2 linked regions of the Anolis sagrei genome follow. The protein of the gene in region 1 interacts with the protein of each later gene in a biochemical or structural test. Links are inferred from orthologs where the notes say so. Each region holds a gene or a part of one and is shown on either strand. Other genes may lie near its edges.

Region 1 (15,321 bases):
TGAGGATGATTTGTCAGGTGCAGAAGTTAATGAGAAAGGAATTAGAAAGTGAGGCTTCTGTAAAAAAGAGACAGAGTGTCAAGCACAAATAAGACCAGTTTGCTTACAAGAAAAGAGAGATAAGCAACCCTTATCCAGGTCTAATGTCAAGAGAAATACTTTCCTTTCAGTCTTGGGTTCTGGAAAAGCTTTATATTGATTCATGGGAAAGAGTTGCTTCAGTTGGGTCAATGTAGGAAATTCAAGACAATCTTGCTTTCAAGTGCTCATAGTTTCATGTATCAAGTTTTTGCCAAGCTCCTGTTTTGTGTATTGGATGTTTTCATGCTGCCTTGATTCATGGATTCTTGCATCTTATTTCATGGATTTTTGTATCTTGTTTTGCCTTGAAGTTCATGGATTGTTCTCTGTTTTGGAACAATATATATTTCAATAAACTGCTTGCTGATTTTACCAAACTGGTAAGGTGTTTAAGGTCAGAGGAGGGTTCCTTCTCTGGTGTACAACAGTAGGTCACCATTTTGCTGCTGTGGTGGAAAGGGACAGCCACCTCACATCACCAGAAGCTCTGCACGGGTATTATAGAACTGGCTGCAGGTGTCAGGACTGCTCTAATTCAGGGGGGAATGTTTTCCCCTAATTCAGGGGGGGACGATGCCTTGAATTTTATAGCCATGTGCCAGCTGTCTTATTTGTTTCTTTTGGGCTTCAAATTCCACTGTTTTTTTCCCCCCTGTATTGGAAATCACTCTGATACTTTACTATTTCAAGTGAAGATCAGTGTACACAGTGCCTAATTTAAATATATAAAGAAGTGCATGCAAAAAGAATTTACTCTCTTGTGAAATATCTCTACTTGAAATGATGGAGAATGTTGCTTTTCTCTCTGATGACTGCGTATCCTCAGGCTGTGAGCATTGTATGTGTCAGTTCTGGAGGCAGGGTTATCCCAAGAAAGCAACTAAAGTGAAAAAGTAAACAGCTCAGACTGAAAGACCCCAACATCTGAGGGATTCAGCTCTCTTTTTTAGTTCCCTCCAACTGCTTCAAATAAAATATTTTCAGTACCTTTTCACTTAGTATTACTGCAACAGAAATATGCTCTTTCAAGATTCCCTAGACAATCCTAATCAGGCATGAGGTTGGAAAAATACCTTCTTTGGAATGCAAAGAACCATCAGCACTGCCATTCTGGGAAATGTGTTTTGTCCCATTGATCCAATTCACTACTCGGAACTCTTTCCATCGCAGGTAAAGAAGAAATTGACACTGTTTTGCTCTATCATGACAACATTGACATGGAAGGGAGCCTGCACAGCTTAGGGAGGAACATTGGGAGACATAGCTACATGATACATATACATCTTCTTATGCAGGATTAGGGTCAGGATTTCATCTCTATTGCTTTATGGTATACTCAGAAGGAATTAACAGGAGTTTAATCAAAGCACCAGCATCTCCTTCTCTGTCTGTGTATATTTGTGTGTATGAAAGAGAGAAAAGAAGAGTGGATAATGAGAGAAAAATAAAAGAGCTGGTGTAACCCAATAAGAAACAAAGTGAACAAACAGTTGTTGTAAACTTTACCTTCTTCCATTATGATGCCCTATTCCCTGGTGAAGTTTATCATTAAAAATGAATTGGTGCCTCTTAGGAATTTATTGCATTATAAAGTCATCATCCTGCAGAATTCATGCAATAACAATCCTGGCAGACCAACAACGGGTAATACATGGTGCCCATTTGCCACCCCTGTAAAATAAAGTCCTTATAATTTGGGTGACAAAATGCTTGAAAAAGAGGAAGTCTAATATTATTTTACTAATAATTTTCCTCAAAAAATGGATGTTATGATTTTCTGATAGTTTAATTATTATATTAGACTAGCCGTCCCCTGCCACGCTGTGGCCCACTCTGGTGGTCATGGGGGTTCTGTGTGGGAGGTTTGGCCCAATTCTATCGTTGGTGGGGTTCAGAATGCTCTGTGATTGTAGGTGAACTACAAATTCCAGCAACTACAACTCCCAAATGTCAAAATTCTATTTTCCCCAAACTCCACCAGTGTTCACATTAGGGCATATCGAGTATTTGTGTAGAGTTTGGTCCAGATCCATCATTGTTTGAGTCCACAGTGCTCTCTGGATGTAGGTGAACTACAACTCCAAAACCAAAGGACACTGCCCACCAAGACTGACAGGTTGGAGGTTCGAATCCAGGGAGAGTGTGGATGAGCTCCCTCTGTCAGCTCCAGCTCCCCATGTGGGGACATGAGTGAAAAGTCCCACGAGGATGGTAAAACATAAAAAAACATCTGGACATCCCCTGGGCAATGTCCTTGCAGACGGCCAATTTTCTCACACCAGAAACAACTTGCAGTTTCTCAAGTTGTTCCTGACACTCACACACAAAACAATCAATCACATAATTGAAGTCACACAGTGAAATTTATTGGCAGGAGTTTCAGGACACATTCTTCCTCAAGAACACTTATTTTTTCATATAAGAGCTGCTTGCCACCAGATGAGGGCATTCCTCTGGGTATCAGAGAACTTAACATAAATGCACATTTACTAGGTAATGAAACATATAGAGTGGTTTGGGCATTTGTTGATGCTTGCCTTCAAATCAGTTTTGACTTATCAACCTTGAAGTTTAACAAAAAATTGCATCATGGCAACCAACTATGAGTTGGTAGCTTACTGAATGAATCCTTACAGATAGCTCAGTTAATGGGGAAAGTGGTACACAAGAAAGTAATCTGTGTGGTGACAAGAGAGTTTCTCAGTTCCCCTTCAAAACAGTCTGGTGTTGCAAACCCTGGCATTTGAGAAGCCAACAGCTTTGTTTGGCATGGAGTGGAAGCTGGTGGCTCCAGTGTGAGTTTGGAAAGAAAGAAGGAAGAACTAAACAGCAAAAAGGAATACACGAATATCTGCTTCCTTCCTACTGCTGCTGCCTTACTTTCCAAGCCTTCTTGTCTTCTGCACATTTTCCATCTGGCTTTTGTTGAGCAATGGTGAGTGGCTGTCTTCTTATAGCTACATGATTTCATAGTATTGAGTCATTACAGTGAAAGTGGTATCAAATCACATTAATTCTACAGTGTAGATGCACCCTAGGTTGGCCAGGACAGATGTAAGAGATTTGCATATTCTTATCAGCAGCCTGGATAGCTCATAACATATGGCTCATCTACAAAGGACTTTATCCCATGAGCAGAAGGAAAGTAGGGGAAAGCATTTGGAAGATTGGGGACTTGTCTTACCCTGGCAGGATCCATTCTTAGGGGATGGTCAGTCATCCCATGTCCTTTTCCTATTTTTTTCCTGCTTCCCCCCAGCTTTCATCCTCTTTCTTCAATCAGGAATCAGTCTTTCCTCTGTTTCCACATTCTGGGAAGACAGATTCCCATGGGCAGCCAGAGGAAGCGGTGGTGTGTCATGGAATGGCCTGTGTGGGACTCCATTTTGTCAGCATGCGAAAAGGGAGAAAAAACTGGAGAAAACTTACATGGGATGAGATCAATAGACCAGTTAGATCAGTGTGATAGCCAATCAACCCCATGGCAGCTAAACCCCACACAGGGGCTGACCTGGCTAATGTGGTTTACCCCAGGTTAATTTAACTTGGGAGAAACCCCAAAACAGGATTCAGGTTGTCCCCTGACTTAGAGTGTTTCAAGTCAGCTGGGTCAATTCCTAACTGGAACCATCTGCAATTGTCTTGAGAACCACCCTGTGCTCCCTGTGCTCAGGCTATGTTAAAATCATCTGCTAGTATCTGGAATGAAGTAGATAAGGAGGGTTTATACTGTCATGGGAAACTCTAGAACTCTTTTAAAAATGAAAACAAGCCCTATTTTAAAATTCTAGGTGGAAATGAATTATTTCTGGGCTAGAGCAAGACCTTAGTGGATTTTCATGATGTCTTACCTTGTCCTTGAGACTTCCAGGGCCTATAAATTATCCATGCAAGTGTACTGGCAGACATGTTTCCTTGAGCTGAACACAGTAATGTTGGAACACAGATGACAAGGATTTCTTCATTCTGGAAAGATGTACTGTACATAGCTATTTGATATATTCAATACATACTACTTCATTCATTCCTTTCAAGGACAGCTGAAATTATGGAATTCATTTCCGAACAACCGATATTAAAAGGAAGCTGTTTTACATTTGTTTCATTAGGAAAGAGATAAAGAAGTGGGAATTGTTAGCTAAGGTAAAAAAAAAGGTTTTTAAAACGCAATAAAAATAACAGGTTTGAGCAAAAATGGAAATCTGACTGTATGTCATGAAAGAAAAAAGGACATTCACGACAGCAAAACAAATAGAAATGTCATCTCTTGAAGGTCACTTCATATTGTGCAGTGTTCGAGATTTGCAGATACAATCTTGAGATCCATTAGAAGTATACAATTATAGTACTATGACTCCACATAAATTGATAGTTACATTCTATGGAATCCTGAAATACACAGTTTATGGAGAGGCATTTAGATTTCTCAGGTAATACCTCACCAAATCCCCGATGCAGCCATGGCAATTAAATTAGAATGAGCCCTTGGTTAATTCTTGGCTTTCCCACTTTTTCAACTGCTTTTAAAATGTCCTACTTTATCTCTCCTTTTTCTACTTTATTTTTTTGTCCTCTGCTTACATCAATTGCTACAAAGTGAATTCAAAATGCAAAAGTAATTTGCATCCAATTAATTCAATGGGAGACAGAAATGAAGAGGGACAGAGTTATGTACTTCCTTGTATGTGTATTTGAATTGTTTTTCTTTTTCAGACTTTCACAGTACATACATTTTAGTGTTTCTCTGCTTACAACAGTTATGTTGTGTGTTCTTCCCTATTAATAACTTTCTTGGACATCTTTTGTCCACATTCTATCCTAGTTATCATCTGTGAAATGTTGGAGAATATCCATGTATATGCCTTCAAGTCACATTTGATTTACAGCAACTCCATGAATTTAAATACTCAGAGATGTTTTTGCCAGTTCTTTCTCCAAAATATAATCCACACTATAATAATAAATAATAAACTTTATTTGTACCCCGCCACCATCTCCCTGAAGGGGACTCAGAGCAACTAACATGGGGCCAAGCTCAAAATTACAGTACAGCAAAATAAAATACAAAGAAGCAGAAAATACCATCAAAATAAATAGATGAAATAACAAAATAAAACAAACACTTAGAAAATAACATTATAGAGAAATTGAACACAGCGGGCGGGCCAAATGCACTAGGATAAAATTGATAAAACCCTGGATGAGATAAGTAGTGAGAGAATGTGTTTCTGAGGGAGGAGCTCAAAAGGAATGAACAATGGGTTAGACCTTCATTAAGTGCATCATGAGGATGGAAATGTAGTTGGAACAGACAAAATATGGAATATATGTGGAATATATGTTCACTCACCACAGTATCTGGTATTTACTGGTAGTTTCCCATCCAAGTACTAACAAGAGCTGACCCTACATGGCTTCCAAAGTTCTGGTGTCTTTAAGGAGCGTATTTTGCTGTAAATGTTTAAGTAGTCATGTGAATTGGTTTCAGCTTTTTCAAGAACCACGGATTTGGGGTCCAAAGCTCCAAAGTTGGAATGAGACCTGGATTGGTTGAAGGCAAAGAAACAGAGGGCCCTTCCACACAGCCATATAACCCAGAATATCAAGGCAAAAAATCCCACAATATCTACTTTGAACTGGGCTATCTGAGTCCACACACTGCCATATATCCCAGTTCAAAGCAGATAATGTGGGATTTTATTCAGCTGGGTGGAAGTGGCCAGAGACTTTATTCACTCTGGCCAAAGTGAATGCCAGCAGAGTCTGCACTCTCAAAACTGATGTGAGGTAATGAAAACATACAGAATCATGTATAGGACTTTGACAGCAGTTTAAACCAAAGAACTTTTGCACTGATTGGGTCAGACAGGGGCCAGCTAGGATCCACATGCTGGTTGGCCAAGACAAGTCATCTACCACTTTCATTTATAGGTTTCTGGCCTGGCAGGAATTGTAATAAATGGTCAGTGCTCCATTTGAGGATTTGTGCCTGCTTCTTGGTCCACTTCCAGAAAATGCATGGGAGAAAGGAATGTGGATAGAGTTTGAGTGCTAATAGCATCATTCCTGTTTGCCTAGAGTAGGACAATGTATCTTGATCAGCTAAATAATGGTGGAAAGGGTGTTGCGTGTTTTGAATGGGTTCCCAGGAAAAGGGTCTGGCAGAGAGCTGGGGAACTTGCGTGACCTTTCAGTCTGAGTTCACTGCTAGATCATGTATCTAAATATTGTGAGGTATGTCTACTACCTGGATGAATGATGGGATTTGCCCTGAAATGTGTGTATGTGTTTATGTAACTTGGTAGATACAGGTTTAAGGTTGCCTACTGATGTTAGCTGAACTGAGTTTCTGGGGGAAAAGTCACCCATAGGCTCCATGTCTTGGTACGATGTGGGTATTGGAGATCCGTTTTAGGCTCCTAGAGTTTCAAGAACAGTCAGGTACACACTTTTTGTCTAACATATCCATAAATTCCTTTATTCATAGCTTGAAAATGTTTACAAAAGTCATGAAAGCAAACGTTGATTTTGCCATTGTAAATAAGGGACACCATTTTACTATGCCATTGTATCCATGGGGGGAGGGGGAGCCCTACACAGGAAACCAATCCCCAATGAATACTACTGTGAACTGTATGCCAAAAAAAATTAAAAATACAAAGCATTTCTAGTCTGCCTTTCTCAGCCCTAAGGCAACTCAAGGTGGGTTACAGATTGGCTCAAGGGAGTTATTTCTATGATGAGGGTGTTCCTGCCAGGCTCCTTCTTCACTGCCATATAATCCAGATTTTCAAAGCAAATAATCTAGATTTTATGTGGCAGTGTAGAAGGGTCCCCAGACTGGCTAGTAGTTTCATTCCTTTATATGTTGCTCATTCACAGTTCCTTTATTTCCATGGATACTCAGGATACAGTGTTTGAATCAACTGGTCTAAACATTCAAAGTCGCTGCAATTTTATGGAGGGGTTTTGACTTTGGTACAGCATATAATAATAATAATAATAATAATAATTATTATTATTATTATTATTATTATTATAATAATAATAGTGATCTTGACATACCTCATGAAAGGAAAGCAACACCATCACCACTATGATTTATTTGATCTATAACATAGGAAATTATTATTTTCTTTGCAAGGACAAATAGAAGCAGATCATATTTTCTTACTCATTTATTGATTTGATTCACACCCAGAGTTTCTCTCAGATCTGACATTCAAGGCAGCTTGTGCTTAAAACATTTGCAGAAAAAAATGCCATGTATTTGTATACTAAAATCATTATTTTAAAACACAATTGAATGATGAGTTTTTAAACACACATGCCATTGGAAGCCCCATCCTGAACAACTGATCAGTTGCCAAAAGCTTCCTGAATAAAATGATATTTAAGAGAAATTCTTTGCAGAAATTTTTTAGAGAAATTCTTTGCAGAAATCTAGAGAAACAAAAACAGCCTCCTCTCCTGTTAACACTCAGCAGCTGTATTGCACAGGAAAATGTTTTACCAAACTGTAGAAATCTGAAATGCATCCAGCTCCTCCTGCCCTCACACATCCTTTTCTCTCTATTGGCTGGATAGTAAACTGGAGGTGGAACTTGCTTCTAACTACCTTCCCTGTTCCAACACAGTACAAGTAACAGCAGCAGGCAGGCTGGCATTGCACAGAAAACTGAGTACTATGTATGGCTTGAAATGATTTTTTCTTTTTTAGAACTCATCAGCTGGAACTGAAAGCATTGTGGCTCCTCTTGAGGTTCGATTCTCACAGAGAATGGAAGTACTTCACCAAATTCCAGGCTATATGAAAGAGAAGCAGCACTCAGCTATACAATCTCAGAGGCTACAGGCGCATATGGCGTTGAATGAGTCAACTCTGGCTGCAAAACATTGCATCTTTATCTTGCTTCTTGGAATCTGCTTTCCTGCCGTTGCATCCCTTGTCACTGTTTGGAACAGCCCCCTCTCATGAAAAACATATCCACAGATTCATTCAAAGAGGTGGAGACTGGAGAGAGAGGTGGATTGAATTCAAAAACTGACAAAAGGATTGTTAGCTCTTGAATCACTGCTTTTTGGAAGATGAACTTCACCTACCACTACGGGATTCACCAGCATCTTGACTTGTGGAACCACAGCTACAGACTACATGGTGGAGTCATGAACCGATCCCTGGGGAAGAGTTACTCTTCAGAAGGATGCTACGAGCAACTTTTTGTCTCACCGGAAGTATTTGTTACCCTCGGCTTTGTCAGCTTGTTAGAGAATGTCCTGGTGATCGTGGCTATAGCCAAGAACAAGAATTTGCATTCCCCGATGTATTTTTTCATTTGCAGCTTAGCTGTAGCAGATTTACTTGTGAGTGTCTCCAATGGGTCGGAAACTATCGTTATCACCCTCTTGAACAACACTGATGTGGGCGCCCACAGTTTCACGGTCAGCATTGACAATATTATTGACTCGGTGATCTGCAGCTCCTTGCTTGCCTCAATTTGTAGTCTGCTATCCATAGCTGTGGACAGGTACTTTACGATCTTCTATGCTCTCCAGTACCATAACATCATGACAGTCCGGCGTGTAGGTATCATTATCACCTGCATCTGGGCTGCTTGCACTGTTTCAGGCATCCTGTTCATCATATACTCCGACAGTAGTGTGGTCATCATTTGTCTCATCAGCATGTTTTTTACCATGCTAGTCCTCATGGCATCTCTCTATGTCCACATGTTCCTGCTGGCCCGGCTGCATATTAAAAAGATCGCTATTCTCCCCGGCACGGGACCCATCTGTCAACGGGCCAACATGAAGGGGGCAATCACTTTGACCATTTTGATTGGGGTTTTTGTGGTGTGCTGGGCCCCACTCTTTTTCCATTTGCTTTTCTACATCTCTTGCCCCCACAATCCATACTGCATCTGCTTCATGTCACATTTTCACCTGTACCTCATCCTCATCATGTGCAATTCCATTATCGATCCACTTATTTATGCCTTCCGGAGTCAAGAGCTGAGGAAAACCTTCAAAGAGATTATGTGCTGTTACAGCCTGCGAGAGCTGTGTGATTTCTCCAGCAAATACTGAATGGACACAGTGAAGCTCTTTTACTTACGCACCTTTTACAGAGGCTGACATTTCCTCCAGTGTTTCTAAGACTGTGGGCTAGATGGATGAGAAAGAACCCTGCTTTACTGGAATTATTAAATGTATTTCTCTGCTTTTATGCTTGTCAAGCCATTGAGTGTAATTATTTAAATGTTAAAGTGTTGCTCCTGCTTAAGGTTAGGAATGTCTCTACAGACTGTTATTAAAGGAACATGTGCCCATATTTTCAAAACTGTGATATAGTTAGAACAATAATATTGAGGACTAAGCAAGAAAATATTGCCTTAATATATCTTGCATGCATCACTGTTCTTTGCCTTGCTCTATTAAGCTACTTATGTTTGAAAGCAGGATTTTTTTTTTGCCTTGCACAAAGATATTTAACTTGAAATGTGATGAAAATATTATCTTTTCCACTGAGCTCAGGTGCTCCACAACTTTTTCATAAGCAGATGTGATAACTCCTGTCGGATTTCCTTCCTGGCTGGATCTACACTGAGTCCTCACTGCCATATGTTCCACTTCAAAGCACATAATCTGGATTTTATATGGCAGCAAATAAAGGACCTCAGTTGTAATCATCACTGTATCGGGTGGAGGGGAGGTGGAATGATTTTGTCACAGTACCAAGACATTTTTTTCATCCATCTCTGTTGTAATGTAATATATATTGATTTGGTGTTGAATGTGAAATCAAGACCCATTAACTTTACAAAAGACCTGCTACTGGAGGAGATAAAAGCTGGCAGAATTTGTTTGTGAATCTCCTTGTGGATCATGGGAACTATTACAAGTGCCTCCACCTCTAAAACTCTCATTAAACCACTGATAAACCACTGACAACTTTCTGTAAAGTAAATAGCCCCTGCTGATTTAATATGAGAGAGAACTAAAGTAGTTCTGTTGCATTAATTATGATTACTACTAGACTTGTTTGGGAAATTAGTATTTATGTTTGAATTAATGAACATCGTTCTCTCCTCACTCTCCCTGGTAATGTTCACATTTATTCACAACCCTGAGAAAAATAATTTATACTTCCTTTTAATAATATTTTTATTTAGGGGGTAGACAAGGAGAGGGGTAAACAAAAATGGGGGTAATTTGTTCATACATTTAAAGTGGGGAAACAATACTATGTATAGAAAGCAAGAAAGAAGTAAAATTTAAAAAGAAGAGAGAGAAAAAACCATTGGTGACTTCCATCTAATCCTTTGTGGTTTAAAAACTTATTCTATCAAGAAAATAGCACACCTTCGATGTTTGAGGCACAAAAACCAAGCTCTTGAATTTAATCTATTATTAAGTCCATTCTACAATGTCCCTTTGGGAAGAAGCAACTTTAAGTGCTTCTTTTTTATTTTTTCATTCTTTCATATTTCTCTATATGTGTCCAATTTGTCTGACCGGGCTTCCCGAGTTAGAAACATAATTTATACTTATTGACTTGCTCTTGCTCAATGTATTGGAGTGCCTTTCCACAAAATGCTCAAGATTGATGTGTGCCCCTATGTTAAATACAAAACTATGCTATTTGAAGTAATACTGCTGCTTTTAAATCCTAGGTAGAAGCAAAGCCAGGAATGAAAGCAGCAACACTCAGCTTAAAGTGCTCAGCTTTAAAAGCTAAATTAAAGTAGGTCCAAATTAATGTGCTACAGCAATCCTGGCCTTGGGAATCCAGATCAGTTATTAGTATCTAATTATGTTCTGATACAGAACCATCTTTTAAAAAGAAACACACATTAACCAAACACACACCATGGGTTTTTTAATATATATAATGAAAATGTTTATAACATATACTCCCTTCCTAGAACATTGAGTACAGCTAATGGGATGCATACCAGTCCTTACAGGAAAAAAATATAATTACAGCCCAGTTGGATTTACAAAAAAAAAAAAAAATCATAATGCCACAAGAAGCAACAATAAAAACAAAAATGTGCACAACATAAGTAAAGATACTGATCATCCAGGGTCCTTTAAAACCACACTATAATTCCACTTTATTCCTTTATTGGATTTGTGCCCCTCTTTTCTTTCAGGCCCCTTCCACACTGCCACTATAGCCCAGGATCTGATCCCAGATTATCTTCATATCGCAGTGGAGATTCAGACTCCTTCCACACTGCTATATAATCCAGATGATCAAAGCAGTAATCTAGATTATCTGCTTTGAACTGGATTATGAGAGTCTACACTGCCATATAATCCCGTTCAAAGCAGATAATCCGGATTTTATATCACAGTGTAGAAGAGGCCTCATATATTCCAGTTTAAAGCAGATAATCTAGTATCAGTTATTGAGCTATAGGGAGTGTAGAAGAGGCCACAGACTGAGATTCAAAGTGGCTCTGCCTAGACCTACACTGCAATATAACCCTGTTCAAAGCGGATAATCTGGAGTGTATATAGCAGTATAGATGGGGCCTTAGATAAGACTTCTTTACCCATTGTCACTCTTTTTTATCTGCTGTGGGCACTGATTATTTCATTAATTTATGCAATGTTGTTTACACATTCAAATGTTTTTATGTATTCCTGTTATATTGTTTTACTATTTTTATTATTACATGTTACTGGGTTTATAATTGCAAACCATCTTGGGTGATTGCTTGTCCTGAATGGTAGTTTAAACACTTAAAGAAAAAATAAATAAAAACGCTGTTGGTGGAATCATCACCATCATCACCATTGTTGTTACTTATTGGTGTCTTAGACCATGGTTGCGACTATGTGTTATAGGCAAATGAATTTGGTTTTCCCTGTTACAACCTGAAATTAACAGAATTTTCTATAGCTTGTCCTTGGAGAGTGATTGACTGCTCTAAAACTTGGCAATATAAAGAATGTCAGGATGGAAAATTCCAAAATGTGGTGTAGAAATAGTAAGAAATGGCCAAGTGAAATGAACTTGAAGTTTGATGCATTATGTTCCTTTAAATACCTGTCCATCCACATACAGACCCTATGAATCTTATATGATTTTCTAAGGTAATGACTACTCGGATGTATTTTTCATTGCTTTCCTATGAAATATAACTCACAGAACCTGGTATTCAGTCTCCCATTCAACTATCCACCAGACCTGGCTCTTCTTAGCTTCCAAGATCAAACAGACAACCTCTTATTATTTGTGTGCATTTCATTTTCTGTGTACTTGTCCAAAGTTAAGATTTTGCAGAAAACATTTCCCCATTTGCCCATCTTTCAGAAAACAATTTGATGGATTGAATCAGGGAGAAGGTCATGTATGACCTTTGTATAGTAAGAAGAAAACCAACAGTCTTAGTAGAAGAAAAAATGTTTACAGTTTTGTTAAAAAAAGCACTTTTGTGTCCCATTCTATTTTATGGACTTCTTTGTAAGCACAATACATGTTGTCTATCCAGTAGAATTCTTGTAGGAGGTAACAGGAGGAAACAGACAGAAGTGTGGTTGGGTATTACTATTCACTTGTACAGAAATCCACATAGACTCTGGACCAATGGAGAGCTTGTGTGTAAAAATAGAAAGAAAGAAAGAAAGAAAGAAAGAAAGAAAGAAAGAAAGAAAGAAAGAAAGACCTACTCTATGGAAGAAGGTAGTATAACTCACCAAATCAAGATGAGGTAGTAGATGACGCTTTTCTGAAATAATCATCTGGAAACTCCCAAAACCAAGAACCAGTAGTTATGGGAGATTTCAATTATCTTAATACCTGCTGGGAAGCTAATTCTGAGCGTGACTTCTGTTGTTGTCACCCCCCCCTCCCCCAACATTAACTATGCTGTGTCGTAGACATTGTGACCCATCATCATTTGGAGTGGTACACATATTCCATTTTGAACCACTGAGGGAGGTCATTTATCTTGCCTAGTTTACTGTTGCTGGGGTGTAATTCTGGAAGGGAAATTCTTATCTTGATGCACAAAAATCAGTTATATTTATTATGATATTTAGAAAAATTGGAATGCATACTATTTCGGTAAAACTGCTCTTCTATTCAACATTAACTGGTGGCTTAGGGGCAGTGAATTTATGCTAGGTTTTTGTCCATATATTTAAGAAGTTGCTAAACAATTCAAATTCATATTAAACCTGGGGTGGATTTACGGAGGGCATGTCTAGACAGTGCCAAAATCCACATTTTAAATGGGGAGTAAAAAATCTTGGGACCTGAGAACATGTCCCTATTTTCACCTGTTAGTCCCAGGATTGGGTCCCCCACCATCTTCACAGGCTTCCTCTGCATTGGAACAAGATGGAGGGTGGGCGGGGGACATCCGGTGGAATTTTTTACTGGACTGTATATGTGCACATGCAAATATCTTAATATAAATACAAGCAGAGTTGTATGTACATATATGAGGTCCGGCGCATAACAAAGTGAATAAACAAACCACTTACGCCAGATTTCACCCTTCCTTCAATTGTTTATTCCAGCTCTGTTTCAGAGAGTTATAATTACTTTCCACTTGTGCTTTCCTTGCACCACTCATGTGCCCATTTGAAACGCCAATCCACTGATGAGCTGTTTCAGGCTTTTTAAAAGCACAAGTACACTGTAGCAGTCTCAACAAGAGGGAGGGAAGGAAATCACATGTTTTTTGTGAGCGCAGGGATGCACAGTGACGTGAATATGCATACTTTCCAGCTGGAATCAGGATATAAGTGGACCTTTTGAACACATGTTTTTTTTTTGTCTGTTGCAATGAATCAGTACGGATTTACCACTAGTATCATCTATCCCCCCCCCCCCTTTTAACTTGGTAACTTCTGCATTTTAGGTGCTGTGTAGTAGGGCCCCAAGTCACTAATATGAAAGACACTAGTTGTAACTATGGCTCCTTCTGCACGGCCATAAAAAATCCACATAGACTCCACATATTCCAGATTACCAAAGCATATCATCTGCTTTGAATGGGATTATATGGCAGTGTAGACTAATACAATCCAGTTCAAAGCAGATTATGTGGATTATCTGCTTTGGTAATCTGGAGTATAAGGAATCATAGAAAAGGCCTGGATTTATTTTGTGCACCACTTCCTCCTCATTCATTAAGAGCTTTTCCAAGATTTTTTCTTTCACCTCTTTCCCTAATATGTTTGAGCCCTGTCCAAAATCATATTATGACGTCATTAAAGCTGAACTAGCATATAATTAAAGGAAAATGCATTCTGATGATCAGCACAATAATTTCAAATAGCACATGATTGAAGAAAATGCATTTTAATGAATACAAAAAAATGTTTTAAAAGCAAGCATTTATTCCTGAGAAAAAATATGTAGCATTCTATTTTTCAAAAGAAATTTAAAAGTTCACATTTAGATATCAGAAATTATATAGTACACTACATGATCATTTCTAAAATTATCTAATTTTTGCAATTGTTAGGACTTGAAAGATGTGACAGTACCAGGATGACTGAAACATAACTTCTGTAGTATTAATCTCCCACCAGCCCATTCCCTTGATTTACACTTTGTGCAAATAAGAACATAGATGCATAGCAACAAAATGTTCATTTGTAGTGATGAAGACATAAAATTTGATACAGATATTCTTGTATTTGTACATACTTTTACCATGAGATTTTAGAAAATGGCAAGGAACATTTAAAATTATGATACCAATTACATTTACCATTCTATAATTTTGAAAAAATCACAAGAATTCACCTGAAGTGTAATAAAACACCAAAAGGGTAAAAGTCTCATTATTAAACCTCAAAATTGTCCTATTATATATCTGCCAAAAAGTAGAGTGGTCTACCAGCATCTACCAACACATTTCCACTACCCAGACAGCCACCTCTCCACAAAAGTTGACGTCAACACTGAAATAAAACATCTTTTGAGTTCTGTGAATGCAACATTTTTTTGAATGAAGCAGAGTTTGCTTGAAGATCAGGACATTCATAGGGATACCAAGATGCTTGTTTATAAAGCTATTGTCCTCCCAACCCTGTTATATGCCTGCAAATTGTGGATTGTCTACAAACATCACTCTCAACTTCTGGAAATATTCCATCAGCGTTGCCTTCAAAAAAAACTTGCAAATCTCTTGGGAAGAGGCAAACATTAGCGTTCTGAAGAAGCAAAGACCACCAGCATTGAAGTGATGATTCTTCGCCATCACTGGGCCA
Region 2 (15,810 bases), on another chromosome or scaffold:
TTCCTTGTAATATGAATCCATTCGTCTGTATCTGATTTCCTAGAATAGTTAACAAACCAGCTCCATCTTCACCATGGCCTCCCATGAGGTTATTCAAAGATTTCCGCCTTGTTCCCCCCTCTTCCAAACAAACCGAAAAGCTATAAATCCTTATTCTCGGATCCGGGGAGAAATAACATTTCCGGATTTTGCTTGGTTTTCTGGATTCTCCCCTAATAATAATAATAATAATAATAATAATAATAATAATAATTGCATTGCAGGATGGGGTCAGACTGGATGGCTTCTGGGGTTCCTATCAAAATCTTGTTGTGTTTCAAATAATAATAATAATAATAATAATAATAATAATAATAATAATAAAATAATAAGTAAAAAATCATAGGGGTTATTCTGGTAGAGAACTCACCACAGAGTCCCAGCATCCTATGCCAAGTCCAACTTTCCTGCGTTATTAAGCTGTGTAGAAATAATCATGATTATAATAATCATAATAATGGGTAAATCCCATAGATCTAGGAGAGGACTCACCACAGAGTCCCAGCATCCTATGCCATGTTCAACTTTCTTGCGTTATTAAGTTGGGTAAAAATATAAATATAATAATAATAATAATAATAATGCCAGAAGCGACTTGAGAAACTGCAAGTCGCTTCTGGTGTGAGAGAATTGGCTGTCTGCAAGGATGTTGCCCAGAGGAAGCTCGGATGTTTTGATGTTTTACCATCCTTGTGAGAGGCTTCTCTCGTGTCCCAGCATGGGGAGCTGGAGCTGACAGAGGGAGCTCATCCACGCTCTCCCCGGATTTGAATCTCCGACTCACTGCAGAGTCTCAGCATCCTATGCCACATCCAACTTTCCTGTGTTATTAAGCTAGGCAGAAATAATCATGACTGCAATAATCATGTCAGGAGCGAGTTGAGAAACTGCTTCTGGTGTGAGAGAATTGGCTGTCCGTAAGGACGTTGCTCAGGGGACACCAGGATGTGTTATCATCCTGTCGGAGGCTTCTCTCATGTCCCTGCATGGAGAGCTGGAGCTGACAGAGGGAGCTCATCCACGCTCTCCCCGGATTTGAATCTCCGACCTGTTGGTCTTCAGTCCTGTCGGCACAAGGGTTTAACCCATTGCACCACTGGGAGCTCCTAACTATAAAAATCATAATAATAGGTAAATCCCATAGATTCAATGGGGTTACTCTAGTAGAGGACTCACCGCAGAGTCCCAGCATTCTATGCCATGTCCAACTTTCCTGCATTATAAAGCTGGGTAGAAATAATCATAATTGTAATAATCATAATAATAGGCAAGTCCCATAGATTCAATGGGGTTACTCTAATAGAGGACTCAACTGAGAGTCCAAGTATTCTATGCCATGTCCAACTTTCCTGTGTTATTAAGCTGGGTAGAAATAATCCTGATTATAATAATCATAATAATGGGTAAATCCCATAGATCTAGGAGAGGACTCACCACAGCATCCTATGCCAAGTCCAACTTTCCTGTGTTATTAAGCTGGGTAGAATAATAATAATCATAATAATAGGGTTTTTTTCCCATGTCATGAGCAACTTGAGAAACTACAAGTTGCTTCTGGGGTGAGAGAATTGGCCGTCTGCAAGGACATTGCTCAGGGGACGCCCAGATGTGTTATCATCCTGTGGGAGGCTTCTCTCATGTCCCTGCATGAGAAGCTGGAGCTGACAGATGGGAGCTCACCCCACTGAGAAACTGCAAGTCTCTTCTGGTGTGGGAGAATTGGCCATCTGCAAGGACGTTTGCTCAGGGGACACCAGGATGTGTTATCATCCTGTGGGAGGCTTCTCTCATGTCCCTGCACAAGAAGCTGGAGCTGACAGAGGGAGCTCATCCACGCTCTCCCCGGATTTGAATCTCCGACTCACTGCAGAGTCTCAGCATCCTATGCCACATCCAACTTTCCTGTGTTATTAAGCTAGGCAGAAATAATCATGACTGCAATAATCATGTCAGGAGCGAGTTGAGAAACTGCTTCTGGTGTGAGAGAATTGGCTGTCCGTAAGGACGTTGCTCAGGGGACACCAGGATGTGTTATCATCCTGTCGGAGGCTTCTCTCATGTCCCTGCATGGAGAGCTGGAGCTGACAGAGGGAGCTCATCCACGCTCTCCCCGGATTTGAATCTCCGACCTGTTGGTCTTCAGTCCTGTCGGCACAAGGGTTTAACCCATTGCACCACTGGGAGCTCCTAACTATAAAAATCATAATAATAGGTAAATCCCATAGATTCAATGGGGTTACTCTAGTAGAGGACTCACCGCAGAGTCCCAGCATTCTATGCCATGTCCAACTTTCCTGCATTATAAAGCTGGGTAGAAATAATCATAATTGTAATAATCATAATAATAGGCAAGTCCCATAGATTCAATGGGGTTACTCTAATAGAGGACTCAACTGAGAGTCCAAGTATTCTATGCCATGTCCAACTTTCCTGTGTTATTAAGCTGGGTAGAAATAATCCTGATTATAATAATCATAATAATGGGTAAATCCCATAGATCTAGGAGAGGACTCACCACAGCATCCTATGCCAAGTCCAACTTTCCTGTGTTATTAAGCTGGGTAGAATAATAATAATCATAATAATAGGGTTTTTTTCCCATGTCATGAGCAACTTGAGAAACTACAAGTTGCTTCTGGGGTGAGAGAATTGGCCGTCTGCAAGGACATTGCTCAGGGGACGCCCAGATGTGTTATCATCCTGTGGGAGGCTTCTCTCATGTCCCTGCATGAGAAGCTGGAGCTGACAGATGGGAGCTCACCCCACTGAGAAACTGCAAGTCTCTTCTGGTGTGAGAGAATTGGCCATCTGCAAGGACATTTGCTCAGGGGACACCAGGATGTGTTATCATCCTGTGGGAGGATTCTCTCATGTCCCTGCACAAGAAGCTGGAGCTGACAGATGGGAGCTCACCCCACTGAGAAACTGCAAGTCTCTTCTGGTGTGAGAGAATTGGCCATCTGCAAGGACGTTTTCTCAGGGGACACCAGGATGTGTTATCATCCTGTGGGAGGCTTCTCTCATGTCCCTGCATGAGAAGCTGGAGCTGACAGATGGGAGCTCACCCCACTGAGAAAGTGCAAGTCTCTTCTGGTGTGCGAGAATTGGCCATCTGCAAGGACGTTTGCTCAGGGGACACCAGGATGTGTTATCATCCTGTGGGAGGATTCTCTCATGTCCCTGCCCAAGAAGCTGGAGCTGACAGACAGAAGCTCACCCCACTGAGAAACTGCAAGTCTCTTCTGGTGTGGGAGAACTGGCCATCTACAAGGACGTTTGCTCAGGGGACACCAGGATGTGTTAACATCCTGTGGGAGGCTTCTCTCATGTCCCTGCACGAGAAGCTGGAGCTGACAGACGGGAGCTCACCCTGCTTCCTGGATTCGAACTGTCGACCTTTCGGTCAGCAGTCCTGCTAGTACAAGGATTTAACCCATTGCGTCACCGGGATAGAATCATATAGAAGACTATTGTGGGCCATCCGGTCCAACCCTATTTTGCCAAGAAGCAGGAAAATCAAAACACCCTCAACAGATGGCCATCCAGCCTCTGCTTAAAAGCCTCCAAAGAAGGAGCCTCCACCACACTCCTACAATAATAGGTAAATCTTACCAATTCAATTGGGTTACTCTAGTAGAGTTCCAGCATCCTGTCCTATGCCACGTCCAACTTTCCAAGTAGAGCAGTGTTTCTCAACCTTCCTAATGCCGCGACCCCTTAATGCAGGGCCTCATGTGGTGGTGACCCCCAAATTATTTTCATTCCTACTTCATAACTGTAATTTTGCTATTGTTATGAATTGCAATGTAATTATCTGATAAGCAGGATGTATTTTCATTCACTGGACCAAATTTGGCACAAATACCAGATACATCCAAATTTGAATACTGGTGGGGTTGGGGGAAAGATTAATTTTGTCATTTGGGAATGTTGGAGTTGCTGGGATTTATAGTTCGCCTACAATCAAAGAGCCTTCTGAACTCCACCAATGATGGAATTGAATCAAACTTGGCACACAGAATTCCCATGACCAAGAGAAAATACTGGGAGGGTCTGGTGAACATTGACTTTGAGTTTGGGAGTTGTAGTTCACCTACATCCAGAGACTCAAACAATGATGGATCTGGACCAAACTTGGCATGAATACTCAATATGCCCCAATGTGAACACTGGTAGAGTTTGGGGAAAATAGACCTTTTCATTTGGAAATAGTAGTTGCAGGGATTTATAGTTCACCTACAATCAAAGAGCCTTCTGAGCTCCACCAATGATGGAATTGAATCAAAGTTGGCACACAGAATTCCCATGACCAAGAGAAAATACTGGGAGGGTCTGGTGAACATTGACCTTGAGTTTGGGAGTTGTAGTTCACCTACATCCAGAGACCCAAACAATGATGGATCTGGACCAAACTTGGCATGAATACTCAATATGCCCCAATGTGAACACTGGTAGAGTTTGGGGGAAATAGACCTTTTCATTTGGAAATAGTAGTTGCAGGGATTTATAGTTCACCTACAATCAAAGAGCCTTCTGAACTCCACCAATGATGGAATTGAATCAAACTTGGCACACAGAATTCCCATGACCAAGAGAAAATACTGGGAGGGTCTGGTGAACATTGACTTTGAGTTTGGGAGTTGTAGTTCACCTACATCCAGAGACTCAAACAATGATGGATCTGGACCAAACTTGGCATGAATACTCAATATGCCCCAATGTGAACACTGGTAGAGTTTGGGGAAAATAGACCTTTTCATTTGGAAATAGTAGTTGCAGGGATTTATAGTTCACCTACAATCAAAGAGCCTTCTGAGCTCCACCAATGATGGAATTGAATCAAAGTTGGCACACAGAATTCCCATGACCAAGAGAAAATACTGGGAGGGTCTGGTGAACATTGACCTTGAGTTTGGGAGTTGTAGTTCACCTACATCCAGAGACCCAAACAATGATGGATCTGGACCAAACTTGGCATGAATACTCAATATGCCCCAATGTGAACACTGGTAGAGTTTGGGGGAAATAGACCTTTTCATTTGGAAATAGTAGTTGCAGGGATTTATAGTTCACCTACAATCAAAGAGCCTTCTGAACTCCACCAATGATGGAATTGAATCAAACTTGGCACACAGAATTCCCATGACCAAGAGAAAATACTGGGAGGGTCTGGTGAACATTGACTTTGAGTTTGGGAGTTGTAGTTCACCTACATCCAGAGGACACTGTAGACTCAAACAATGATGGAACTGGATCAAACTTGGCATGGATACTCAATATGCCCAAATGTGAACACTGGTAGAGTTTGGGGAAAATAGACCTTTTCATTTGGAAATAGTAGTTGCAGGGATTTATAGTTCACCTACAATCAAAGAGCCTTCTGAACTCCACCAATGATGGAATTGAATCAAACTTGGCACACAGAATTCCCATGACCAAGAGAAAATACTGGGAGGGTCTGGTGAACATTGACTTTGAGTTTGGGAGTTGTAGTTCACCTACATCCAGAGACTCAAACAATGATGGATCTGGATCAAACTTGGCACGAATACTCAATATGCCCCAATGTGAACACTGATAGAGTTTGGGGAAAATAGACCTTTTCATTTGGAAATAGTAGTTGCAGGGATTTATAGTTCACCTACAATCAAAGAGCCTTCTGAGCTCCACCAATGATGGAATTGAATCAAAGTTGGCACACAGAATTCCCATGACCAAGAGAAAATACTGGGAGGGTCTGGTGAACATTGACTTTGAGTTTGGGAGTTGTAGTTCACCTACATCCAGAGGACACAATAGACTCAAACAATGATGGAACTGGATCAAACTTGGCATGGATACTCAATATGCCCAAATGTGAACACTGGTGGGGTTTGGAGAAAATAGACCTTGACATTTGGGGGTTGTAGTTGCAGGGATTTATAGTTCACCTACAATCAAAGAGCCTTCTGAACTCCACCAATGATGGAATTGAATCAAACTTGGCACACAGAATTCCCATGACCAAGAGAAAATACTGGGAGGGTCTGGTGGGCATTGACCTTGAGTTTGGGAGTTGTAGTTCACCTACATCCAGAGGACACTGTAGACTCAAACAATGATGGAACTGGATCAAACTTGGCATGGATACTCAATATGCCCAAATGTGAACACTGGTGGAGTTTGGAGAAAATACACCTTGACATTTGGAGATTGTAGTTGCTGGGATTTATAGTTCACCCACAACGAAATAGCATTCTGAACCCCACCGATGATAGAATTGGACCAAACTTCCCACACAGAATCCCCATGACCAACAGAAAATACTATGTTTTCTGATGGTCTTTGGTGACCCCTATGACACCCCCTTGCGACCCCCACAGGGGTCCCAACCCTCAGGTTCAGAAACACTGAAGTAGAGAAAGCAAAAAATGCAAGAGATGAGGAAGAAGAGAAGTGGAAGCTAAAGAAAAGAAGGGTTGCAATGGATCAAGTGACCTGTTAGCAAGAAAGAACGACGAGAAGTAGGAGGATGGCAATGGATGGGGTGTGTTATCCATCCAAAAGGAGAGAAGAGCAAACCTGCCCAAGGCTGCAAAAGAGGGAGAGGAGCAACTTGCCTTACCTGGTCCGCAATGCTCCTGCTCTGTCCTTCCTCTGTGTCTTCTTCCTCTCTCTGTCTCTCTCTCTCTCCTCCTGTCTGCGTCTCCACATCTCTGCCAGCCCCCTTTTATACCAGAGCAGCCCATCTGGAGAGGCGAAGGCACCCTTCCCTTCCGGGCAACCTTTTCCAGCAGCGAGGGGAGGGACCCGGGGACCCTCCAGGTGCAGACAAGACAAAAGAGGCCGGGATTAGCAGCATCTCGACAAGGATCACATGAAATGCGGCAGGAGCTGGGTGCGAAGAAGGCACCCCAATCACAGTTGTGTGGAGAGGGAGGTGGGGGGATTAACACCTGGGTGCGCAAAGGGCAGCCAGGTAATTCTTTCCATGACACCTGTGTTGGAGATTGAGCCTCCAGGTGATGGGTGATGCAGGGTTTTTGCATCAGAGTGGGGAGGGGGATTCGCCGGTGTCTCACAGATGCGCACAAGATGCCAAAGCGTGTCGGACCCCCCCGTCCGGGGGGGTCCGACACGCTTTGGCATCTTGTGCGCATCTGTGAGACGCCGGCGAATCCCCCTCCCCACTCAAGACAGCATTTGCCGAATCGCTTTGTTCGGTTTTAAGGGCCAAAAATGTTTCCAGATGTTGGAACGTATGGCGAAGTGCATGTTCTCAGATGTGGCAGGCCGAGCCGATGTGGACCCCTTAGAGTTGGAAGAAATGTATTGTCCAACTGGGTTGTTGTAGGTTTTTCGGGCTATATGGCCATGATCTAGAAGCATTCTCTCCTGACGTTTCGCCTGCATCTGTGGCAGACATCCCCAGAGGTTGTGAAGACACAGAAGCATTCTGACGTTTCGCCTGCATCTGTGGCAGGCATTCTCAGAGGTTGTGGGGTCACAGAAACATTCTCTCCTGATGTTTCACCTGCATCTATGGCAGGCTTCTTCAGAAGTTGTGAGGTCATGGGAGCATTCTCTTCTGATGTTTCACCTGCATCTGTGGCAGGCATTCTCAGAGGTTGTGAGGTTACAGGAGCATTCTCTCCTGATGTTTCGCCTGCATCTATGGCAGGCATCTTCAGATGTTGTGAGGCCCCAGGAACATTCTCTCCTGATGTCTCGACTGCATCTTTGGCAGGTATCCTTAGAAGTAGTGAGGTCCCAGGAGCATTCTCTCCTGATGTTTCTCCTGCATCTGTGGCAGGCATCCTCAGAGGTTGTGAGGTCCGAGGAACATTCTCTCCTGATGTTTCACCTGCATCTGTAGCAGGCATCTTCAGAAGTTGTGAGGTCCCAGGAACATTCTCTCCTGATGTTTCACCTGCATCTATGGCACGCATCCTCAGAGGTTGTGAGGTCCCAGGAGCATTCTCTCCTAACATTTTGTCTGCATCTATGTCAGGCATCCCCAGAGGTTGTGAAGTCACAGAAGCATTCTCTCCTGAGGTTTCACCTGTATCTGTGTCAGGCATCCTCAGAGGTTGTGAGGTCACGGGAGCATTCCCTCCTGATGTTTCACCTGCATCTATGGCAAGCATCCGCAGAGGTTGTGATGTTACAGAAGCATTCTCTCCTGATGTTTCGCCTGCATCTGTGGCAGGCATCCTCAGAGGTTGTGAGGTCATGGGAGCATTCTCTCCTGACGTTTCGCCTGCATCTATGGCAGGCATCCTCCGAGGTTGTGAGGATCTAACAACCTCTGAGGATGCCTCCCATAGATGCAGGCGAAATGTCAGGAGAGAATGCTTCTAGAACGTGACCATATAGCTCAACAACAACCCTCCCTGCATAAGCGGTACCTAAATTTCCTACTTCACAGATGCAACTGTCTCTCGGGCTGCAAAGGTCGACAGCAAGCTAGACAAATGGCCGGAAGCTCACTCTGACCCAGGCTGGCTTCGAACTCATGACCTCTTGGTCAGTAGTGATTTTGATGCAGCTGACTCCCAACCAGTTGCATGACAACCCGGTCCCTGGACTGCACAAGTCTCTTGTGTTATCAAGTCTCCAGTCCTCAATGAGTAGTTACTACAAATAGGATCATAGTGAGGGATTCCTCCCCTCACATTCCTATGCATGCTTATCGCAGAAGGGGCTTTGTCTTTACTCTTCTTGCTTTCCACTATCTCCTTCCCCCTTGAAGATGTAGCAAAGTTAAATTGTATATCACTGATTGTTTTTTATCCTTGTTGTAAACCGCGTTGAGTCGCCTGTTGGGCTGAGAAACGGCGGTATACAAGTATAGTAAATAAATAAATAAATAAAAATCTGGTTATGAAGTTTACTTCGAGTACTCTGCTGTATTTATAGTAGGATCACCCTGTTGTGACTCAGCTGGAATCACAGAGTGTCTCTGATGAGGAGGATGGGACTCAGGTTCATAGTTTGGTTCAAAATGTCCCTGTTATAGTCAGTGAAGAAGTGCAGTTTCCCACAGCAAGGCATGAGAGTGTTGATACTGGAAATAGCCAGGTGCAGGTGCAGATTGACTCAGAGAAGGAGGGCAGTTCTCAGCCTGATAATGAGCAAGCAGGGAAACAGGGTGACACTAACGAACAGATTGACCTTGACGAAATGGGAACCTTAGATCAGGCTGACCGTTCAAAGGAGTGAGAGGATAGCTAACAAGAGGGAGGCCAGAGGCCAAAGAAACGCCTTCATGTTTTGTAAAGGGTATTAAGCCGTGTGTTTGAGACCAAACTTTGTCAAAGCAACTTTGCGTTCAACTAAGAAGCTCAAACTTCCGTCCAGTGGCCCTTATTTCTCATGCCAGTAAGGTAATGCTCAAGATCCTGCAAGGAAGACTCCAGCAAGACATGGAGCGAGAGTTGCCAGATGTTCAAGCTGGGTTTAGAAAAGGCAGAGGAACGAGAGATCAGATTGCCAATATCCGCTGGATAATGGAGAAAGGCAGGGAGTTTCAGAAAAACATCTCTTTCTGTTTCATTGACTCTTCTAAAGCCTTTGACTGTGTGGATCATCATAAATTGTGGCAAGTTCTTGGTGGGATGGGCATCCCAAGCCCCTTTCCCTCTCTCCTGAGGAATCTGTACAAGGACCAAGTCGCAACAGTCAGAACTGACCACGGAGGAACAGACTGGTTCAAGATTGGGAAAGGCGTACGGCAAGGCTGCATACTCTCACCCAACCTCTTTAACTTGTATGCAGAACACATCATGCGAGGATGTGCGGGGCTTGATGAATGCAAAGCTGGGGTAAAAATTGCTGGAAGAAACATTAACAACCTCAGATATGCAGATGACACCACTCTGATGGCCGAAAGCAAGGAGGAGCTGAGGAGCCTTCTCATCAAGGTGAAAGAAGAAAGCGCAAAAGCCGGGTTGCAGCTAAACATAAAAAAAACCAAAATTATGGCAACAAGAATGATTGACAACTGGGAAATAGAGGGAGAAAACGTGGAAGCCGTGACAGACTTTGTATTTCTAGGTGCAAAGATTGCTGCAGATGCAGACTGTAGCCAGGAAATCAGAAGACGCTTCCTTCTTGGGAGGAGAGCAATGTCCAGTCTCGATAAAATAGTGAAGAGTAGAGACATCAGACTGGCAACAAAGATCCATTGCCTAGTCCAAGCCATGGTATTCCCTGTAGTCACCTACGGATGTGAGAGCTGGACCTTAGGGAAGGCTGAGCGAAGGAAGAGAGATGCTTTTGAGCTGTGGTGCTGGAGGAAAGTGCTGAGAGTGCCTTGGACTGCGAGAAGATCCAACCAGTCCATCCTCCAGGAAAGAAAGCCCGACTACTCATTGGAGGGAAGGAGACGAGAGACAAAGTGGAAGTATTTTGGCCACATCATGTGGAGACAGCAAAGCCTAGAGAAGACAATGATGCTGGGGAAAGTGGAAGGCAAAAGGAAGAGGGGCCGACCAAGGGCAAGATGGATGGATGGCATCCTTGAAGTGACTGGACTGACCTTGAAGGAGCTGGGGGTGGTGACGGCCGACAGGGAGCTCTGGCGTGGGCTGGTCCATGAGGTCACGAAGAGTCGGAGACGACTGAACGAATGAACAACAACAAGAAGCTTGCCTTTTCTTGTCTGGATTATCTTGCAGTTCTTGAACATGAGGAAGAACTTCCTGACTGTGAGAGCCGTTCAGCAGTGGAACTCTCTGTCCCAGAGTGTGGTGGAGGCTCCTTCTTTGAAAGCTTTGAAACAGAGGCTGGATGGCCATCTGTCAGGGGTGCTTTGGATACAATATTCCTGCTTCTTGGCAGAATGGGGTTGGACTGGATGGCCCATGAGGTCTCTTCCAGCTCTATGATTCTATGATTCATAACAGTAGCAAAATGACAGTTATGAAGTAGCATCAAAAATAATTTTATGTTTCAGGGTCACCACAACATGAGGAACTATTCAGGGGTCACAGCATTAGGAAGACATATCTAAACCATACATCTTTATCCATCCATCTATCTGCATATGTATCTTCTATCTGATGCATTTCTCTCTTTTCCCTTGCCTTGCTGGGTTGCCTGAGATGAGGTAAAGGGGAAGATAGATTTAAAATGCTCAACAAACAAATACAATCATTTAAGACCCAGCTTCAAAATAGTTTAAAGATTATTCCCTTTCTCACTTTGCACCAAACTAAATAAAGCATAAAGGGTGAGAGATGGTCCCTCGTGGCCACCTCCATTTGTCGCCCCCCGAAATAGTCCTTTTGGAGAGGATAAACGTTGAAAATAATACATCAACGTGGTTTTCATAGACAAATGCCCAGCTTGGCTGGTCTCCCTCAGGGAGTTTATGCACATTAATGGCTCGAGCCACCTCCAGTTTTAGTGGCCTGAAACAGTCCGGGAAGCTTCTTTCCTTTGACGGATGGGCCATTGGATCGTCATTACGGCCCCCGAATTTCCACGTTAAAGTCTCCTTCGTCAGCATCAAGTCATTCCAGAGCTTTGAATGAATCTGCAAATGCTTTTACGGAGAAAAAATGGTGACGCGGATGGAGGAACTGGGGGCCAAAAGGTGGAGATGGAGTGGCTCCCTGGAGCAAATTGACAGGTGGGTGCCTTCTTCTCCGCCGCCGCATCTCATAATCACATTCCCTTTCTTTCCTTTCTGTCTGGTTTCTTCTATTTGCAAAGTCTGTGCCCGGAGACTGGCACTTCAGGCTGCAAGGGAGTGGGAAAGCCATTGCACTTCCTCGGGAGAGGGATCCCATTCAGGCAAAGCAAAAGCCCCGTTGCAAAACTCCCAACGGTGGCCTACTACAGAAATACTACAGATCCCAGGATCATATAGCATTGAGCTACAGCAGCTCAAAGTGATGAGAAACTGCATTAATTCTACTATGTAGATCAGGGGTGTAGATCAGTAATACATGGAACAAGAGTTGCCAGATGTGCAAGCTGGGTTTGGAAAGGCAGAGGAACAAGAGACCAAATTGCCAACATCAGCTGAATAATGATGGAAGGCAAGGAATTTCAGAAAAACATCTATTTCTGTTTTCTTCACTTACTTACCTAGGTGATCCCTCGTTGTTCAGGTAGGATAATCTTCCAGGGTGTATCCGTAGGTGACTGTGGAGCCCTATTCTTGATCTGCATCTTCTCCCACAGTGAGGGCATCGGTTTCCAGGTGGAAGTCGGTCGGTTCCTCTTGGCACGCTTCTCCCTTTCGCCCTCCATTCGTGCCTCTTCAAATTTTGCAGCACTGCTGGTCACAGCTGACCTTCAGCCGGAGCGCTCAAAGGCCAGGGCTTCCCAGTTCTCAGTGTCTATGCCAGAGTTTCTAACTCTGAGTTTGTCAGGGGTGATTTGAATGCAATATTCCTGCTTCTTGGCAGGGGGTTGGACTGGATGGCCCATGAGGTCTCTTCCAACTCTTTGATTCTATGATTCTATGATAAGGTTCACTTTGAGCCCATCTATAAATCTCTTTTCCTGCCCACCAACATTCCATTTTCCATTCTTGAGTTCGTAGCAGAGCAACTGCTTTGGGAGATGGTGGTCAGGCATCCGAACAACGTGGCTGGTCCAGCGGAGTTGATGGTGTAGTAGCATCGCTTCAATGCTGGTGGTATTTGCTTCTTCCAGCACGCTGACATTTGTCTGCTTGTCTTGCCAAGAGATTTGCAGGATTTTCCAGAGGCAGCGCTGATGGAATCGTTCCAGGAGTTGCATGTGATGTCTGTAGACAGTCCATGTTTCGCAGGCAGCCCTGTGGTACTCCTTTCCCAATCTTGAACTAGTCGGTTGTTCCATGGTCTGTTCTTACTGTTGCCACTTGCCAGGTTCCTTAGGAGACAGACAAGGTGACTTGGTCTCCCCATGCCACCAAGAACTTGCCACAATTTATTATGATGCACGCAGTCAAAGGCTTCAGAGTAGCGAATCTTTTGTCGACCGGGACCAACTTCCACCTGGAAACCAATGCCTTCATTGCGGGATATGATGCAGATCACAAATAGGGCTCCATAGTCACCTACGGACCCACCCTGGAGGATTCTCCTACTCGGACAATGAGGGATCACCTAAGTAAGAAGTAAGAAGTTGCCTGCAGAACACATCATGCGATGTGCGGGGTTTGATAAATCCAAGGCTGGAGTTAAAATGGCTGGAAGAAACATTAACAACCTTAGATATGCAGATGATACCGCTTTGATGGCCAAACGCAAGGAGGAGCTGAGGAGCCTTCTTACCAAGGTGAAAGAAGAAAGTGCAAAAGCTGGGTTGCAGTTCAACATCACAAAAACCAAGATGGTGGCAACCAAACTGATTGATAGCTGGCAAATAGAGGGAGAAAACGTGGAGGCCGTGAGAGACTTTGTATTTCTAGGAGCAAAGATTACTGCAGATGCAGACTGCAGCCAGGAAATCAGAAGATGTTTCCTTCTTGGGAGGGGAGCAATGGCCAATCTTGATAAAACAGTGAAGAGTAGTGACATCAGACAGGCAACGAGGATCTGCATAGTTAAAGCAATGGTATTCCCCATAGTCACCTATGGATGAGAGAACTGGACCATAAGGAAGGCTGAGGGAAGGAAGATAGATGCTTTTGAGCTGTGGTGTTGGAGGAAAGTTCTGAGAGTGCCGTGGACTGCAAGAAGATCCAACCAGTCCATCCTCCAAGAAATAAAGCCCGACTGCTCACTGGAGGGAAGGAGATGAGAGGCAAAGATGAAGTATTTTGGCCACATCATGAGAAGACAGGAAAGCTTGGAGAAAAGAATGATGCTGGGGAAAATGGAAGGAAAAAGGAAGAGGGGCCAACCAAGGGCAAGGTGGGTGGATGGATGGTATCCTTGCAGGGACTGGCTTGACTTTGAAGGAGCTGGGGGTGGCCACAGCTGACAGGGAGCTCTGGCCTGGGCTGGTCCAGGAGGTCACCATGAGTTGGAAGTGACTGAACCAATAATCAGCAAACAGATCATTGGTCCTCAAACTACAGCCCACGGGCCAAATCCAGCCCATCAAAGGCCTTTGCCCTAAACTGCAGGCTTGCCACTACCACCACCACCATTCATGCCACTCTCTTTTTGCTCCTTAACGCAGGGGTATAACTTGAAACCACGTAGATGTATTGTCGAAGGCTTTCATGGCTGGAATCACTAGGTTCTTGTGGGTTTTTTCGGGCTATAGAGCCATGTTCTAGAGGCATTTCTCCTGACGTTTCGCCTGCATCTATGGCAAGCAGCCTCAGAGGTTGAGAAGGTCTGTGATGTATCTTGTAGATGTATCTTGTACAATGAATGTCACCTGAGATGGGAGAATTTCTCATGGCTGTTCATTTACTGATGGGTCTGGACCATAATAAATATTGTTGTTGTTGCTCCTTAATTCTCCTTTCCTTTCCTTTTATTTCATTTCCTTCCTGTTATTTCAGGTCCACTGGTGGTTGGTTTGGTGGCTGTTTTTATATTTAGCTATAATGTTGATGTTTTATTTTGTTTATGCTGTTGTTTATGTATTTTAATGTGTTTATTTTAACTACGTTGATCAGGCTTGTCTCCATGGAAGCCACCCCGAGTCCCTTCGGGGAAATGGAGGCAGGGTACAGAAATAAAGCTATTATTATATTATCTTTCCTTTCCTTTATTATCCCCCCAAAGTGAGGGGATCATTTCCACCCCATTCTTGCACCTTCCAGAACAGAAAGAGGAGAGGAGAGAGGAAGAAAAAAAGAAAGAAAAGGAAGATCATAGAATCATAGAATCAAAGAGTTGGAAGAGACCTCCTGGGCCATCCAGTCCAACCCCATTCTGCCAAGAAGCAGGAATATTGCATTGAAATCACCCCTGACAGATGGCCATCCAGCCTCTGTTTAAAAGCTTCCAAAGAAGGAGCCTCCACCACACTCCAGGGCAGAGAGTTCCACTGCTGAACGGCTGTCACAGCCAGGAAGTTCTTCCTCATGTTCAGATGGAATCTCCTCTCTTGTAGTTTGAAGCCATTGTTCCGCGTCCTAGTCTCCAAGGAAGCAGAAAACAAGCTTGCTCCCTCCTCCCTGTGGCTTCCTCTCACATATGTATACATGGCTATCATATCTCCTCTCAGCCTTCTCTTCTTCAGGCTAAACATGCCCAGCTCTTTAAGCCACTCCTCATAGGGCTTGTTCTCCAGACCCTTGATCATTTTAGTCGCCCTCCTCTGGACACATTCCAGCTTGTCAATATCTCTCTTGAATTGTGGTGCCCAGAATTGGACACAATATTCCAGGTGTGATCTAACCAAAGCAGAATAGAGGGGTAGCATTACTTCCCTGGATCTAGACACTATGCTCCTCTTGATGCAGGCCAAAATCCCATTGGCTTTTTTTGCCGCCACATCACATTGTTGGCTCATGTTTAACTTGTTGTCCACGAGGACTCCAAGATCTTTTCCACACATAATGCTCTCGAGCCAGGCATTGTCCCCATTCTGTCTCTTTGCATTTTGTTTTTTTCTGCCTAGATAGATAACTAGGCAGGAAACAGAGAGGAAGGAAGAGAAGAAAGGGAGAAAGAAAGGTAGTTAGAAGAAAAAAAAGAAAGGGAAGGAATCCAGAAATTATGACATTGTGGTTTGGACCTGGGACTACGGCTCTGAACCCACTGTGTGCTATTATGCAAGAAGTCCAACTTTCTCAGCCTCAAAGGAAAACAAAAACAAGAAAACTCTGTGAGAGGGTTGCCTTTGGTTGCCCTAAGCGCACAACAACATTTTGGTCTGCATCAATAG

What was found.
Region 2: the proteins of MC4R (region 1) and pro-opiomelanocortin form a complex in vitro, tested with the Homo sapiens proteins (2 studies listed by BioGRID). The link is inferred for Anolis sagrei from reciprocal best matches to the Homo sapiens genes MC4R and POMC.

Annotation. Positions count from the first base shown.
Region 1 is NC_090024.1:91,500,490-91,515,810, reverse strand, and holds MC4R (melanocortin receptor 4), read left to right. Parts: upstream 1-7,747; 5' UTR 7,748-8,169; coding exon 8,170-9,168; 3' UTR 9,169-10,048; downstream 10,049-15,321.
Region 2 is NC_090021.1:5,504,877-5,520,686, forward strand, and holds the start of pro-opiomelanocortin, read right to left. Parts: upstream 6,926-15,810; 5' UTR 6,644-6,925; intron 1-6,643.